Linked DNA regions of Drosophila melanogaster. The gene in region 3 interacts genetically with the main gene of each other region. Each region holds a gene or a part of one and is shown on either strand. Other genes may lie near its edges.

Evidence for each region.
Region 1: of sub (region 3) and Incenp, changing one enhances a phenotype caused by changing the other (phenotypic enhancement), as found in Drosophila melanogaster (one study listed by BioGRID).
Region 2: of sub (region 3) and Ran, changing one suppresses a phenotype caused by changing the other (phenotypic suppression), as found in Drosophila melanogaster (one study listed by BioGRID).

Annotation. Positions count from the first base shown.
Region 1 is NT_033778.4:7,277,032-7,282,339, forward strand, and holds Incenp (inner centromere protein), read left to right. Parts: upstream 1-1,574; 5' UTR 1,575-1,697; coding exon 1,698-1,766; intron 1,767-1,829; coding exon 1,830-2,010; intron 2,011-2,075; coding exon 2,076-3,135; intron 3,136-3,198; coding exon 3,199-3,295; intron 3,296-3,439; coding exon 3,440-4,106; intron 4,107-4,262; coding exon 4,263-4,456; 3' UTR 4,457-4,764; downstream 4,765-5,308. Other genes in the region: Br140 (Bromodomain-containing protein, 140kD), read right to left, coding at 1-851.
Region 2 is NC_004354.4:11,144,308-11,150,384, forward strand, and holds Ran (Ran), read right to left. Parts: upstream 4,274-6,077; 5' UTR 4,179-4,273; intron 2,290-4,178; exon of another isoform or gene 2,109-2,289; 5' UTR 2,071-2,108; coding exon 1,636-2,070; intron 1,558-1,635; coding exon 1,342-1,557; 3' UTR 545-1,341; downstream 1-544. Other genes in the region: CG15201 (uncharacterized protein), read left to right, coding at 13-175, 307-388; Lint-1 (l(3)mbt interacting protein 1), read left to right, coding at 5,407-5,544, 5,618-5,653.
Region 3 is NT_033778.4:17,744,970-17,750,070, reverse strand, and holds sub (subito), read left to right. Parts: upstream 1-1,992; 5' UTR 1,993-2,092; coding exon 2,093-2,633; intron 2,634-2,694; coding exon 2,695-3,893; intron 3,894-3,951; coding exon 3,952-4,098; 3' UTR 4,099-4,209; downstream 4,210-5,101. Other genes in the region: CG10931 (uncharacterized protein), read right to left, coding at 16-1,053; Ir54a (ionotropic receptor 54a), read right to left, coding at 4,210-5,101. UniProt on the Drosophila melanogaster protein: Required during female meiosis for bipolar spindle formation in the absence of the centrosomes and chromosome homolog segregation. Also has roles in male meiosis and mitotic divisions of the early embryo.

The sequences.
Region 1 (5,308 bases), about 10 Mb from region 3:
GCGTCGTCGTCCACCTCGACGCCTGTGGGTGTGCCGTTGGCCGCCGCCTGGAAGTGCGACTCCTTCTCCAGCCGGTCCATCAGCAGCTCCATCGTGTCGATGCCCACGGCGTTCAGGCCGAGTCGCTGGCGCTCCTCGTTCATGTGCTCCAGCCAGGCGGAGTCCTCCTCGTCAACGTCGTACTCCACCTCCCCGTCCAGCTCCTCCAGGGACTTTTCGATGAAGCGATAGTAGGCCAGCGGCCGTGGCGGGGCGTCGGACACTCGGTAGTCCGGAATCTCGGCCACCCTGGCCACGGGCACCTGGACCCTTGCCCAGGGCGCGTTCTCCTCCAGCGGTGGTGCGTCGGCATTCAGAATACAGCCCCTGGCCACTAGGGCGGCGAACTCTTCGTCCTCTACGAGCGGCAAGGCGTCGTCGATGCCCAGGCGCACGCTCTTCCCGTCCAAGTTAAACGTCACCGTGGCCTCCTCCTCGTTGTAGGACACCAGTGACTCTGGATTGGCGTACTGCCGGGCGCTGACTCCGCTCGCCGATCCACCTCCTGCGCTGGCCGAGGAGCAGCCGTTTCTGGCCTCAGCTCCACCGCCACCCGGCGTGGGGTGATCCTTGTGCGGACGAGGCGTGGAGTGGTGGCCGCCGGAGCGTGAGCGCGCCTTCTTGCGGCTCGGAGTCAGCACGGGCGTGAGCGGCTGTGGGTTGTCGTGGTCGTACTTCATAAGATGGTATTGCAGACCCATGATGGTCTTGTAGCTGCGGTCGCAGCCGCGGACGGGACAGGCGAAAGGCGGCTGGGACTGCTGGGTCTTCACCCCTTTGCAGTATTCCACTGCGTCGAAGTCGAGGCCCATGATCTGGATCTGCGGCGCGATCTGTGGATCTGCTGCAGCTGGCTTCTCGGGGTTTGGCGGTTCGCTGGTCGCGGATCGCGGGCACTGTGTCTACTCCGCGGCACGGCTGCGCATACGTATGTGCATCCCACGGTGGTCGTCGCAGAGCGCGCGGTTTTGGCTGTCCACCGTTCCTGGTCGATTTTCGTTGGCTTGTTGCAAATTTTTTAACAAATGTGCTAGAGATGGGCTTGCTGGTCAGCTCGCCATGGCGATACTATCGTCGGAAGTGCTTGTGCAGCACTGGACGTTTGCTGAAACTTGTTTGAAATATTTCCGGTCCTTTACGCAAATTAATTCTCTTCCGTAATCTATATTTATAATTTAAATGTTCCTTTTTGTTCTTTCCCTTACCATTTTCCCTCAAATTTGTTTACAATATGTTTTTTGGGGAGCCGTGCAGCACTGCTTTCTAGAGATGGTAGTGGCGGGAACGTATTGGAACTGGTTCACCTAATGTTATACTTTCAAAATTTACAGGGCTAGAAATCCAGTACGTAACTATTTAAATAACCCAATAATATTATTTTAAAGAATTCAAATAAATATCTCCCAATATTCACTCAAAAAACAAGTTTTGGTTGTGTTTTTCATTTTGCGCGGGAACTTTATCGCCCGTGCAGTGTTGGAAAGCAGAGGCATAAATGCGCCTTACAGCACCCGACGAGCTGTTAACTGTCAACAGTGCACAATTAAAGGCATGTTATCAAATGCTGACGCGCGTCGCAATTGCCGCCATTTGAAAAAAACGATAAAATCGAAGGAACCGAATCCGGATTTGCAGTTTGTCAGATACAGTCGCTAGATATGGAGGACATCTTGGGCGTGCTGGGCTCGCTTTCGGACCTGCGCAGGGAGCTCGAGGTCCTGCGCAAGGTAAGCCAGGATCAGGAGACGAAATTCCGACACTGTCAACATGGCGTCATATGTGTTTTTTAGGCCCACTTTGAGGAGCTGGACCACCTCTTCTACGGCACAGGCCAGCCGGAGGCGGAGGCCAAACCGAGGGACAGTGCTCCGGCAGCGAAGAGTCAGGAGAACTCTTCGGTGACGCCGCAGCAAACGAAAAAGCGCCCCAAGCGACTCACCTCACTGGCCGAGGATCAGAATGAGCCCGAGGGTGAGTATCCTGGCCATTTTAAAGCATTAACGACCAACAACCCCTGTGATATTCCATTTGAGCAGCTCCAGACGCCACGGCCAACAACACGTCGGCCCGTCAAAGCACTCGGGTCAGCAACTCCCAGTTGCTGGCTATCGCCGAGGACGAGCACAACTCCACGGCCTCGCTGATGCCGCCTCCGCCTGTGCCCGTCTCGGCGGACACCACCCTCGGCTCCGGAAGGCCACAGCGAGCCGCTAAGCTGAAGACCGAGAAATTACTCAAGGAGCCCTCACTCAACCGTAAGATGCGGCGGCCCAGCAGCGAGGAGCTCGTAAAGGTCAAGGTTGAGAGCGAGCAGCGAGTCTCCCAGTTTAACAGCTTCACCAGTGCACAGGCGTTAGAGGAAAATAAACTAGCGGAGCCGGAACTAGAAGAGCCAGCAGCAGAAACAGCTGAGCAGCAAAAGCCTCCGGAGGAGGCCTCAGTCACAGAGGACGTGAACACCACGAAGACACTCCGCGTGAAGGTAAAGCGCGAGAAACTCAGTACCGAAGCAGTGCCCCCGTTAACCAATGCGGTCTCCACGGCAAATGTGACCACCGTCTCCTCTGTAACAACGGAGGCAGCGCGACCGGACGATACGGTGGCCAGCAACACGACGACATCCACGGAGGTCTCCAAGAAGGTCCGCAAGAAGAAGAAGGACGTGGAAAGCCACCGACCCATAAAGGTGGAACGATTCAGCGACCTGGACAAGAGCTCGCCAGTCTCGTCGCGCACGCGCAAGTGTAGCAGCGATTCGCGAACGGTTCAGGAGCGATCCATATACAAGGATGCACTCGAAGATCCGCCCGTTGCAGAGCAATCAGTGGCTGCAGTTGCTCCGGCTGCTGTCAATGAGACCGTGGCGATTTCCAACGCCACCCTCGTACTGGGTCCTGCGCCGACGAGCGATAGTCCAATAGGACCAGCTGGAGATGCCACTTTTGAGGTGCACTCCAACGACAAGAAACAACCTCTGAGTAAGCAGGACAGCCTCTTAACGGAGGACGAGTCGGTGGAGGAGAAGCTGCCGACGACCAAGCTGCTCTCGAGCATAAAGGCTATAAAACTGCCTACCCGTACACATGAGCTTTTCAAGTGAGTAGATACCCTGCCTCTTCATGCATGTTATCCTTCTAAACAATCTTTGCACTTCTACAGCCCACTGCTTCAGAGTCCAGTGAAAATGCGCGTGGAGGCGTTCGAGAATGCGGCAAACGCACAGAACAGCATGCGCCCTAAGCGGGGAAAAGATCTGGTAGGTACAGTATAGTTGCACATATATAGCAGGCAGATAGCAGGCAGAATTAGGCTAGACTATTCACCAGTTCTGTATCAATTGGCGCTTTCTAGAACTGTTTGATAGGTGATTCATTTATTGTTATTTTTTTTTACTCTTCAGCAGGGCACGCCAGGATCAAACAACACTCCCAAAATTGGCAAGCTGCCTGCTCCGACTGTTGGTCGCTTTTTCACACCGACTCAAACGACAAGCACACTACCATTAAGCTCGGCGCAGCCCAAGAAGGGACCTGCCAGCGCGTCTAAGGCCACTAGTCTGCTGAAGACGGCCACCGGTACGAACCTAAGGTCGGTCAATTCCACGTCCACAAAAACGCTGTCGCGCGAGAACAGCGGAGACGACTTCCGCAAGGGCCTGCACAATCTGGCGGAGGAGCGCAAGAAGCTGCGTGAGCAAAAGCACCAGCAGGCTGCCCAGCAGCGCGAAGCCAAGGAGCGGGAGCGGGCAGAGCGTATGGCCAAGCTGGCCGCCGAGCGCGCCAAGAAGCAGGAGGAGCGAAAGCGAATTGAAGAGCGCAAACGACAAGAGCTGGAGGAGCTGCAGCGGAAGATGCGCCAGCAAGAGGAAGCCGAGGCGCTCAAGAAGGCCAAGTTCAAGGAGCTGGAGCAGCAGAAACTGCAGCAGCTAACCGGCGCCAAGCCCAAGAAGATGCTTCCGCCGCCGCCGAAAACCAAGTACACCTGGGAGATGCTGCACGAAGACGACTCGACAGACGACGAGGGAAAGGTCACCCACAAGCGTCCCCCAGCGCCCACCTGGAGTCGAAGTAAGTTTGTGGATCATTTCGAAGAGTTATTTTCGAGATACCTTATTCATCGTAAATATATACAAGTAAATACACCAGATTACAGTCTGATTTCCATTGGGACTACTAAAGGAAATGTTCTTAAATATAGATTCTGACTTATGTGTTTATTTTCAGGCCACGTAAGGGGAGAGGCAATTGCTATGCAGAGCCACTGCCCAACCGACATCATCGACAGCTTTTTCTCGGTGGCGCCCACCACACCGGACCTAAAGCAGATATTCCCGAACATCGATCCCAGCCAGCTGAAGCGAAACTCCAGCGTGCTGTGGTCCACGCCGCCGCGCTATTCCGAGCTGCCGAAATACTAGCCAAGTAGTCCTGCTCTCTTCTCCCGTAAATGCACATGTTTATGATCGAATAAATAAAGTTAATTGTGAAAATTAAAGCGGAGTACCGCTGCGCGATTCACTGCGACTCTGACACTAATATCCAGCTGCTTTAGAACTATTAAAGCCGCCAGCGTGCTCAATTAATGGTTCGCTGGTGGCTGCTTGCCGATTCCATTAGCCAAGTTGCCCAACAATGGATACGTCGATTCGTGAAAAGTGTGAAAACGCAGAGGAGGCAAGTAAACGAAATAAAAGAAAACAAGCCCGGCAAACACAATTTCACTGGTCATGGGGCATGGTTTTGTGGCATGATGCGCAGACGATCGAAAAGACTGCCTCGATTCGATTCTCCTCCATCATGTTTCCATTGCTGCTAATCCCACTTTTCCAACGAGCCATTCTCATTTTCAATCGAAAGCCGAAATCAGCGGAATCGGCATGGGCAATTGGCACAGTAATTGCTGCTGATTAGAGTCGACTCCATGTGGAAGTCGCCGCGGATCCACCCATGAATATGATTCGATGGGACCATCTTAATCCGCAATCTAATTAAGGCGCGTACGCTCCCCAAATTGCCACTTTCAATTGTTACTGTTTCCGTTTAAGTGCACTCTGTTAGTAGCTCCACTTCCCCACGGACCCAAGTCGATTGGGGCTGAATCTATGTGAATTCCATGTGGCACATTGGATACTCTATCAAAAACTGTAAGGAAAGATAGTAACACATCTAAATGAATAAGCTCTAAAATTCCATCAAATGCCACTTTTGTGATCCATCAGTTTGCAATTCTTTAGAACTTTTGAAAGACCAACTTTTAGATTTTCCCATGT
Region 2 (6,077 bases), on a different chromosome or scaffold from region 3:
TCTTGTACGTAGCCAGCGAACCCGTGTGCTCCTACCGCAACTCGGAGGATGAGACCATCTTTCTCAAGTATCTGCCGCTGCTGAGACGCGGACAGGACTACGTGGACTTCGGCAAGGATGGCAAGTGCCTCAAGCGGGCCATCTGCACGGACACCTTCAAGACCATCGTGGAGGAGTAAGTGCATCATGACAGCGATCTTAATTAGCAACTTAGGTTGCATGAAGAAAACAAAATATTTCCTAGCTGAACTTTGCCCCGATCTCCACATGATTCTAACCAAGCCATCTACAATATCTTTTTTTCAGCTGTGGACAGCAGAAGGTCACCTGCGGCAACAAGGATCGCTTCACCGGAGTTTTCCCTGCCTGCTGCCTCAAGTGTCCCTAAATCCGAGGAGTTTCATTAAGAACAGTGTATTCAAATGTAGAAATGTAAACAGTAGACGATTAGCTAACGGAATATATGTGCTACCCATTCAATTACAGGGTATGCGATAACTATAATCTAGCATCATTTCCTTATCATCTTTCAAATGCAAATCCAGCTCCGTTCGTTTAGTTTTTTTTTCTTCGACGTTTATTTTTTATTTCTTTAGTTCTTAGATTAATAACATGTGGATGCGAATTCGGCGGCCTGTCTATAGGTTATTTTCTCATAGTTTCCAGTGTTTTCCTTTCTTTTCTTTTTTCAATAGTATTAATTTTCCTTTGGGGGGACTCAGTTCATTGGCCAGCTATTGCGCTCTCGCTCGCTCCGAGCATGCCGTCTCGCTCGTTTCTAACATTCACACTTTTGTTGAAGTAACTTGGTTTTTTCTTCCTTTTTTTTTTTGGGTGGAAAAGAACATTGGTGTTGCAAGTTTTAAAAAAATACGTTCTGCGACTATTTATTTCTCTTGGTTTTCGATTAAGTTGCTGTTGCCTGCTGCTTTAGCACTTTAATGACAATACTACTTACTTACTCCTTTTTTTCCAAGAGCCAACGTATAAGGAAACAAACAAAAAAAAAATCAATTATAACCGACTTATTAATGAATTGGGGATCTAAAATTTAAATACAATCGACGTATTAAGAAGGGCTTGTTTGTAGATTTTCCCAACGATCGATCGAAGAACATAGGCTGGCAAATCCAATAGTGTACGGATAGTACACTACTGCTAATGCTACTTCCTCTAATCCGTAATCCTTCATTCCCTCTTGCCACGCCTTTTCATACGGTGCCTGTGATTCAGTGTTCTATGTTCGGTGTGGTGTTGTGTGTTGTGGTTTTGTGTTTGAGTGTGTGTGTGTTTGTGTTTTCGCGCAAGTCGGATTTCGCTCTAAGTTAACTACAAATAGGCTTATAGCTCCTCGTCCTCGTCGGGCAGTGCGGTCGCCTGGGCCTCCTGCAAGTCACGCTCGATCTGCGCCTGCCAATCCTTATCCATCTTAACCTCGGGCGGCAGCAGGGCTGGCATGGCGACAAACTCCAGGTTGGGATCACCAACCAGCTTGCGCGCCAGCCAAAGGAATGGTTTCTCGAAGTTGTAGTTCGATTTGGCAGAAATATCGTAATACTGTTTGACAAAAAAGAAGGCACAAGCACAATAACGTTAACAAAATTTCAAATAAAAGTTCAGCTTTTCTTTATTTACCTGCAAGTTCTTCTTTCGGTGGAAGACGATGCTCTTCGCTTTCACCTTGCGATCCTTGATATCGACTTTGTTGCCACAGAGGACGATTGGTATGTTCTCGCAGACGCGGACTAGATCGCGATGCCAGTTGGGCACGTTCTTGTACGTGACACGCGAGGTAACATCGAACATGATGACGGCACACTGGCCCTGAATGTAGTAGCCATCGCGCAGCCCGCCGAACTTCTCCTGGCCAGCGGTATCCCACACATTGAAACGGATGGCGCCACGATTGGTATGGAAGATCAATGGATGCACCTCCACGCCCAGTGTGGCCACGTACTTCTTCTCGAACTCACCGGTCATGTGCCGCTTGACAAAGGTGGTCTTGCCGGTGCCGCCATCGCCGACTAGCACGCACTTGAATGTGGGTATATCCTGACCTTCCTGAGCCATCCTTCTAAGCACTCGGTATCTTCGTTAATGCAAAATTTCTGGAACGGTGAGCTGCAGATGGAACAATTGCGTTTGGCTGGTTAGCAACTTGCAACTACTATGCTACTTTATATATTTAAATATATATATATATAGCGGAGCTTGAGCAGGAACAGGAACAGGAGCGGAATGTGTTGGCTAGGATGTTGTTGGTTCGGCGAGCGCCAGGCGACTGACTGCCCGTCCTGCGAGCCGTCCAAAATGTGACGTGCACAATGGATGCGTCAAAGCCCGCCAAGGACGGCGACCAGCTGTTCGGCGAGGAGCGAGCAGGATAACGACAAAGGACACTGCAGCTGCCGCTCCCGCTGAGCCCGCAAGGATAAGAAGGCCGAGATGCCGAGCCAGAGCGAGATGGCCACAGGGTATGGCTGGCTGTGTGTGCAGGTAAGCAGAAATGCCAGGCGCACCAAACAACAACAACAACAAGAAGGCGGCAGGGAGGCGGAAGGATATACTCTGCATACTCGCACACATACATTCCCACCACGTTTATGCGCAGCCCAAAACAGTTTGCCACACAAAAGGAGACCCGGAAAACCCACGGCGGCTCTGACCCACAATTGACCTGGGTAATACTAATTTAAACCCGAGCATAGGAAACCAAAGTGAATAATAAATGCTGACATTTCTGTTCGCAAATAATTAGCGCGCATAAACGCTTGGCATAAGTTTCGGAATATTAAGCGTAGAATTGGAGACATTCAAAACATTCGAAGAAAAGCGCAGTGTAAACAAAATTTTCATACTAAAGAAACTTGATCGCGTTATTGTGTTTGTACTGTATATAGCATAACATTTGTTTATGATTTACTGCGAACTGTAATCAAAGATATATACAAATTTAAGAAGTTATAGAGAAGAAATATTGGTAAATATAGGTTTTGAATGAAATGGCCATATAGCAAATAGAAGTACTTTTTAAAAGAATTAAAGCAAACTACCAAGTTCATCAATAAAGATGACCATATTTTCAGCATGAATCAAGATCAGTTTCATCAATTTGAAATGAGGTGAATAATTTGAATGGATATATTTCGTAAAACGCTGAAAAAGGCATTTGATGACTCATTCCTTTTGGAGACTGAAATGAGTAACTTTTTAAGGATGGCAAGATTGTGAAATTCCTGCGCATCACACCACTGGTGCTGCCCATAAAAGCAGGAAAATTCCTTATTTTGAGTGCCGCCTGTAACGCCGGCAAATTACAAGCACACACACGCACGCATGCACTCGTATTGGTGAGAACCTGTGGACGCTGCGAAGCGCGCCAAAAAATAAAAATGCCGACATACAAATAGTGCAGCGTTTTCTTAGCTCATTTGCTGGCTGGCGAACAGCGCAGCAGTCGCGATTCACGTGAAAATCGCCAATCGCATTTATATATTCTAAATAACAAATCGAATTCTAACACACATACGCACCCACACATGCACACGCACACGGACGACGAACAGACGCAGACAGACGACGACGCCGACGTCGCCGCCGGCAGAAGAAACATGAAGCAAATTCATTGCCGTTTTTTTTTTTTTGCGATTCATGTTTAACCTCACAAAATGCGAATGGCATGGCAGTCGGCGAGAATGTTCCGATGGCCAAAGGACAAGGACATTTGTCCTGCTTCGGTGTGGCGTACGGAGGAGCTGACAGTCCCAATTGGACGGCGCTTTTCCACTGCAGAGCTTGCCATGAGCCGGAAAAGGAGGGATAACAGCACGAGGCGGCACCACGTCGTTTTTCTTTTTTTTTTGTCAGCGAAATCTCTGGAAGCTCTATACGCCACTTGTTTTGTACAACTCTAGCCGGCAATCGGGCTTGTTAACCGGCTGGACTTGGTGGCCGGAAGCCGGGTGGGCGGTGGCCGGGTGGACAGACAGCAAAAGCCGCTGGGTCGGGAATAAAGCACACAATTCCAGGCGAAGCGACGCCGTCGTCCATATTGCATGCGAATTTGGGGCGTCACTGGCGTCATGCCGCACAGCACTTATTCACATCACGGTGGCGAATTAGCCAGGCTGGCAGCGAATTTGCACACAATTTAAAGCCCATTTTGTAGTTCTACTTACATTTTGCTCGAAATTCCTAGAAAACCACAACTTTCTTTTTTGCCGAAACACAATGCAGTGCTGCCAGATTTGAGTGATAAATGAAGTATAGCTGTTGCCTCGATGTTTTCGTTATCGGCCAGTGTGACCGTGCGAGCATAGAGAGGTTCCAAATTCTGGCGCTTACTTATATACCATCCACACCATTTGCAATTATTTAATATAATATATTAAATATATGGCTTAGTAGATATACAGAACACGTGTAGTAACAAAAAAAAAAACTGTCTATCAAATTGTAATGAAACTTTTTGAATAAATAATAAATAAAATTACGAAACTTTTGAGATGCCGTACGACGGAATACGCTCTGTGAGCTGAGTTAAATAATAAATATAAATAATAGTGCAATGTAATAAAATAAATAATAATAAAATAAAGTCAGCGGAGAACTCTTATCGTTAATAGGGCGGTTCATGATATTTATTGGCTGTAGTACTGGAGAAGGTGGCATTTAAACTCCTTCCACTTGTAGACGATTTTCTGCAAAACTGTAGATAAATTTTTGATGAATTTTTTAAGGATCATTACTTAATTAGGCCTACATAAGCCTATAAGCACGGCATTCCGGAACACGCTCTGTCAACAACACCAAACATAAATGACTTTCATGGGTACTTTTTTGTATAGGCTTGTTCATATTTTGACCCATAAAAAAAAAAAAAATAATAAAAAACTTTCCAATGTTCAAAAATTTCACCGTTCCGCCATCGACTCTAACTCATCGACGCTAATTTGATGGTCTTGCGTGCATTTTGGAACACTAAATAACGAAAAATTAATTTTTAAAAAACTTCCCCATGTTCAAAAATTCCACCGTTCCGTCATCGAAGTTATTGACGCACATCGTCCTTATTTCTCCAAATTCATAATTAAACGCATATTAAGATTAAAAATTCGCTACGAGAACGAGCACATGTATTCATCTATCTGGCAACGCCACCAGTTGATGCAACACATTTTTATCTTAAATTGCGAAGTTCCTCGGCCAGATATCAGTTACGAATGTAGTGATCAATCTATCACATTTTCTAACCACATTCGGTTTCAATTCCCACCCCACTCCCTTTCGAAAATTTGCCCAAAATTCCCACAAGTGCATCAATTGCAACGCATCCGAAATCAGTCGCGTGCGTGATTCGTACGATAACCGTCGTTATATATATAGCGTCAATATAATCGGAACAAGATGAGCAAGTACCATAAGGAGCGCAAGTACGCCAAGTTCAGGTACTACATGGAGAAGTACTACGTGCTGCCGCTGGAGCTGAAGAACGACATCATCTACTGCCAGCGATCGCTGCGCGATTTCCTCAAGGTTCACGCGGTAAGTGCACCATGGCTCCTTGGCGAACACCAGTTAATTTGTTTCCTTTGTCTCTGTTCTCTCACTTACGCAGTTGGTCTCGGAGGTCTTCGATGAGCAGGCGGATGCGGTGGGTTTAATGCCAGAAGACTGCAAGTCTTTGTCCTTTGTTCTCTACGCCACGAGAATTCCCGATTCCCCAGGGTGAAGGTGTTCGCCCGTAGAACACCACCCAACCCCCCTCCCACTACACACAACCAAAAAAAAAACCAAAACAAAGAACTGTATGTAGATGAAGCTATGAAACGTAGTACTTAGTTTAGTTTTTTCATTTCAAAGAAACTGATGTACTCGCGATAATTTTCTAGAGTTGGGTTAGAAACATGAAAGAGGCAACTGCGTTTTAAGCAAAACTAATAATGCACAAAAATTGGGTCAAATGTTTTCATTTCCAAAGGAACCACGTTCGCATCTCTGAATTTTTTCGAAATTACTTTCACTTTTTTTTGAAAAGAAGACATATGAGAATTATGTATATGACGAAATCCATCATC
Region 3 (5,101 bases):
TGTTGATTGTTGGAACTACTTCTCGCTGCTCTTCCAGATTTTAATGGCATATGAATTTTGTAGGGCGCCGCTAGCAATCACATTTGCCGTGGGATGGCAATGTGTGCTCAAAATCTGGTCGCCCTCCGTGCTTATCTTTTGCACCAGCTCCCTCGTCTGCAGATTCCAGATGCAAAGCGTATTATCCTCGCTGCCGGAGACAATCCAAATGCCGCCGGTGGTGGAAAAATTGGAGTTGGAGCAATAGAACTCATTCAAATGCCCGCGATAGGTCCTCATGCACTTGGGCTTCTTGTAGTTCCATAGCCTAAGGGTGTTGTTCAATGTGGACGACAGGATGTAGCGTCCGTTCGGTGAGAACTTCACATATCCGACCGGGATGTTGTCAACGTCAACGAGAGTCTTCAGCACATGCCCGGTGCTAGAGTCCCACAAGCGGACCAGCCCATCATAGCTGCTGGTGACAAAAATATTGCCATCGCGGTGGAAGTCCACCGATGTTATGGGATCCTGGTGGGCGTGGACGATTTTGAGCGTTTTGCCAGTGCGGACATCCCAAAGGCGCACTGTTTCGTCAAAGCTAGTGGAGGCCAGCAGATTGGCCTGCGGATTAAAGCAGCAGGAGAAACTGTACCTGGAATGCCCCTCCAAAACTTTGACGCAGAGCTTGCTGCGGGCATCCCAGAGACGCACGGTCATGTCATCGCTACAACTGGCAATTAATCCAGCCGCCGACCAGGCGACATCGTTGACTCCGTCTCCGTGCCCGGCCAGCGATTGAATGCATCGGGTTGCGCTCAAGTCCCAGAGCTTAAGCAGCCTATCGCCGGAGCTGCTGACCAAGTTCTCGCCATTCGAACTAAACTTTAGACCAGTAACGCAACCACTGTGACCGAGGAGCGAGTGCTTAATGGCGTAGCCCGGAGACATGGAGTTCTCCAAATGGAACTGACTTGGTAGCATAGGCATCTTAAAGGAATCGAAAGCGGCCTCCGGGATGGCGATTTCAGTTTCGGAATCTCCAGGAGTCGAAGCTGTTTCAATCAATTCCATAATTTTATTTTTTTCGCCCAATTTTAATTTCTTACGAATCCTGCGAAAAGTTCGAAAACTTGGCGATGATGGTGACAGTTCCTGAGTTGACAAAAGCTTGCTGATATTTTGTAAAAAGGGTTTTCATTTCATCATTTACCCGATTATTTTTGGCGCCCAGTTTTAAGTTTTTATTATTTTTTTAAATTAATTACCTACAAATGTTGAGTCTGTTTTTAATTATCGCGAGAAAAAGTACACACGTACTGATAATTCATTAAACACTTTTTTACAATATTTGTCTAGTACATACAATTGTTAATTGTTTCTACAACTACTTATAACTCATTTAGTCAATATTTGTTTGAATTCCCAGACAGGGGGCGTAAAAAATCAGACTGGAAAAAGTAAACAAGCCCAATTAATTTGCGTTTTAAGGGAGTACTTATTTGGCGACAGGGTGCTCTATTTGCGCAGCCTGTTATTGTTATGCTGTCCAGACTTGTTAACCAAACATTAAACAAATGGCCGGTGCTGTGCCGTGCCGGCAATTTGTCACCTAATTATTTGTCGACGCTGCTAATCTTACATATGGGCAAAATTGGAGAATGCGCGATAATCAAGTCAGTGAACTTAATATTTGCATGGTAATTTAACAGACTTAAAGTGAATTTTTAACTTAAATTTTAGTAACATTTGGATTTTAACTGCACATATATGCCTTTATTATTTTATAAAGTTTGAATCAATGAATTTTTATACTAAAAATGTGTGCTAGTACTAGAATGAATTGAAATTATTTATAATAACTGGAACGTGTTGCTATCGATTTTTTTTTGTCAAAATTTATCTTTTTTATTAAAAATTGAATTTCTACATTAAATGTTATTGATGGTATTTTGTAACGGCTAATTCAAATGATCAACGGTCACACTAGCCAGTGGAGCTGCCAGCTATCATTTGAAATTCAAGTAAAGTTGGCAGCCCCCTGGCGTCTGAAAAATAGCGCGAAGTGAAGTAAACTAAAAAGTATCCCTTCAACCCACATAAACAGCGCAAAATGGACAGCAAGGAGGTTTCGGAGGTGCCAAGGCGGGAGGTGCGCTCCTTCCTGATGGCCCGGGATCCCTCCATCGACCGCCGCTTTCGACCGCGACCCAACAAAAAGATGCGTCTGTTTGACAACATTCAGGAGTCGGAGGAAGAAAGTTTTTCCGAATACTCGGACACGGAATCGGAGTACAAGTACCAGTCGAGCGAGGCAACCGAAGGGGCCTCATGCGCTACCAGTGCGGCAGACAGCAGCAACGTGGAAACGGGGCCACAGGTCTTCCTGCGCTTGCGTCCCGTTAAGGATGCATCCAAAGCCTACATAGTCTCGGAAGAAGCAAATGTGCTGATCACTAGCTGCAAAGTGGACTCGACCAGCAACAATGTGAACCGCATGGAAAAACACTTTGGATTCACTTCCATCTTTGACAGCACCGTTGGCCAGCGAGACATCTATGATACCTGTGTGGGTCCCAAAATTATGGAGGAGGAATGTGTGACCATTATGACATATGGCACATCGGGGTCTGGAAAAACGTATACCTTACTGGGTAAGCGAAGAGGACTTGCAACAAGTTTGCTGGGCAATTGTTAATTTAAATCCATTTTTAGGCGATGATGTGCGTGCTGGAATCATTCCGCGTGCCCTGGAAAACATATTCACCATTTACCAGGACACCGTCTTCCGATCGCCCAAGCTGAAGCTAATCAATGGCAGCATCGTGTTCTTGCAGGACGACGCCTCGCTGAAAGAGCTGCAGATTCGGAAAAAACTTTTAGACTTATGTCCGGATATCAGTGCCCACCATCAGCGTCTGAAGCAGGTCATTGATGGCGACCACATGTTCGAAACGAAGGCTTCCACCGATGTTTCCGTCTTGGTTTGGGTGTCCTTCGTGGAGATCTACAATGAACTTGTGTACGACCTGCTAGCCATTCCGCCGAAACAGGACAAACTGGGGGAGGTGCCACGAAAAAACCTGAAGATCGTGGGCAACAAAGGCCATGTGTTCATCAAGGGTCTGACCAGTGTTTTCGTGACGAGCAGCGAGGAGGCGCTGCGTCTGCTCCGGCTGGGCCAGCAGCGCTCCACGTACGCCTCCACCTCGGTGAACGCCAACTCTAGTCGGTCGCACTGTGTCTTTACCGTGGACATACTAAAGTACAATCGGTCGGGCATCACCACACAGAGTTCGTACAAATTCTGCGACCTGGCGGGTTCGGAACGCGTCAACAACACGGGTACCTCCGGCCTTCGTCTCAAGGAAGCAAAGAACATAAATACGTCGCTGATGGTGCTGGGTCGATGTTTAGATGCGGCCAGTACAGTTCAGAAAAAGAAAAACGCCGACATCATTCCATATCGCGACTCCAAGCTAACAATGCTGTTGCAGGCTGCTTTGCTGGGCAAGGAGAAATTGGCCATGATCGTGACAGTTACCCCTCTGGATAAATACTACGAGGAGAACCTGAACGTCTTGAACTTTGCTTCCATCGCCAAGAACATCATCTTCAAGGAGCCCGTAATTAAACAGCATCGCGTCAGCTACTGTGGTTTCATGGAATTCTCAAAGATGTCGACGTGCGAGGGCGGCGACTACACCAAGGAACTTGAGGACGAAAACGTGCGCCTGCAGTTAGAGATTGAGCAACTGAAGTACGATCATGTGCTGCAAATGCAGCTGCTTGAGGAGAAACTGCGAAGGGAACTGACTGCCACCTACCAGGAGATTATCCAAAACAACAAGAAGCAATATGAAGACGAATGCGAGAAAAAATTACTAATTGCGCAAAGAGAATCAGAATTTATGGTTAGTAAATATAACAATATAATATAATAGTATATAATATAAACTATATATTTAACAGCTTTCCTCTCAACGCCGAAGGTATGAAGAACAAATAGAAGACCTCAAAGATGAGATAGAGGAACTTAAGAATCCTGCAAGCGACACGGACATTTCTGATGATCCAAACGAATCTAAGTCTCCCATCGAAATCCTCGATGATGATTAGTTTCTTTAATTCACAATTTTTAATTTGTTAAGTGTTAGTGATTTTAAAATTTAAATTTGAAACTTGATATGTTGCAGAGTTGGCCACGTTTTCCAATAAACATGTGAATGATCAATAAACTAGTGACACAAATAATGATGTGATTCTGTGCCAAGAAACTTCGAGCAAGAATACCAGAATCGCAATTACCATAAATGTTCCGTACGCCTGCCACATCCACTGAAAATCCACAATCCTTAGCGAGGTAGGGTGCTCTCTTTCCTTCAACTGCAGGCTGGGATCCTCCAGACCGGACAATCCAGCTGCTGTCATGTCGTAGTAGTGCATTCCCACCCAGAAGTCATAGAGTCCATTGGCATTTACCTCCAAAATAAGTTGGCTGACGGGCTCTGTGAACAAGGAATTCTGCGGCCATTGGAAAGAGAGCAGCGCCAGGGACCACAGGCAGTCATCCGTGGAGTAGATAAACAGCTCTCGGGTGAAGCGCTTCTGCTGCTCACTGAACAAATTCCAATACAGTCGGGAGGCGAAGTAGGCATTGCTTGTGTTCCTTCCATTCCTCAAGTGATTGTACTCACTCACATTGACCACCAGCATGGGCACACGCAGTTTCATCCATGTGGGAAAGTCTTCCTCGGTCGTAACCAATGGTATTTTCGTGCGACGCAGACCAGCGAAACTTCGTGCTTGAAATTGCCGTGGTGGATGAGCCATTAATGTGTCCAGTCCCGCTCCAAAAATGCTGCTCACATTAAGACCCACTATTCCAAGCATCAGAAATATCAACCTGGTGGAGAAGCTTCTCGACAAGGGCAAATTGAAGGATTGGCCCAAGATTCCGCGTAAAGCTTTATCATTTAGCACAAAGTCCACCAGACGCACATCGCGATGGGTCATGTTTCGAAGGAGATTCAAAGCCAATCCATAACTGGAAACAATAACAATAGCCAGGAACATATTGGAAGCACTGCTCAGGATAAAGTAAATATCCTTAATTGGAATT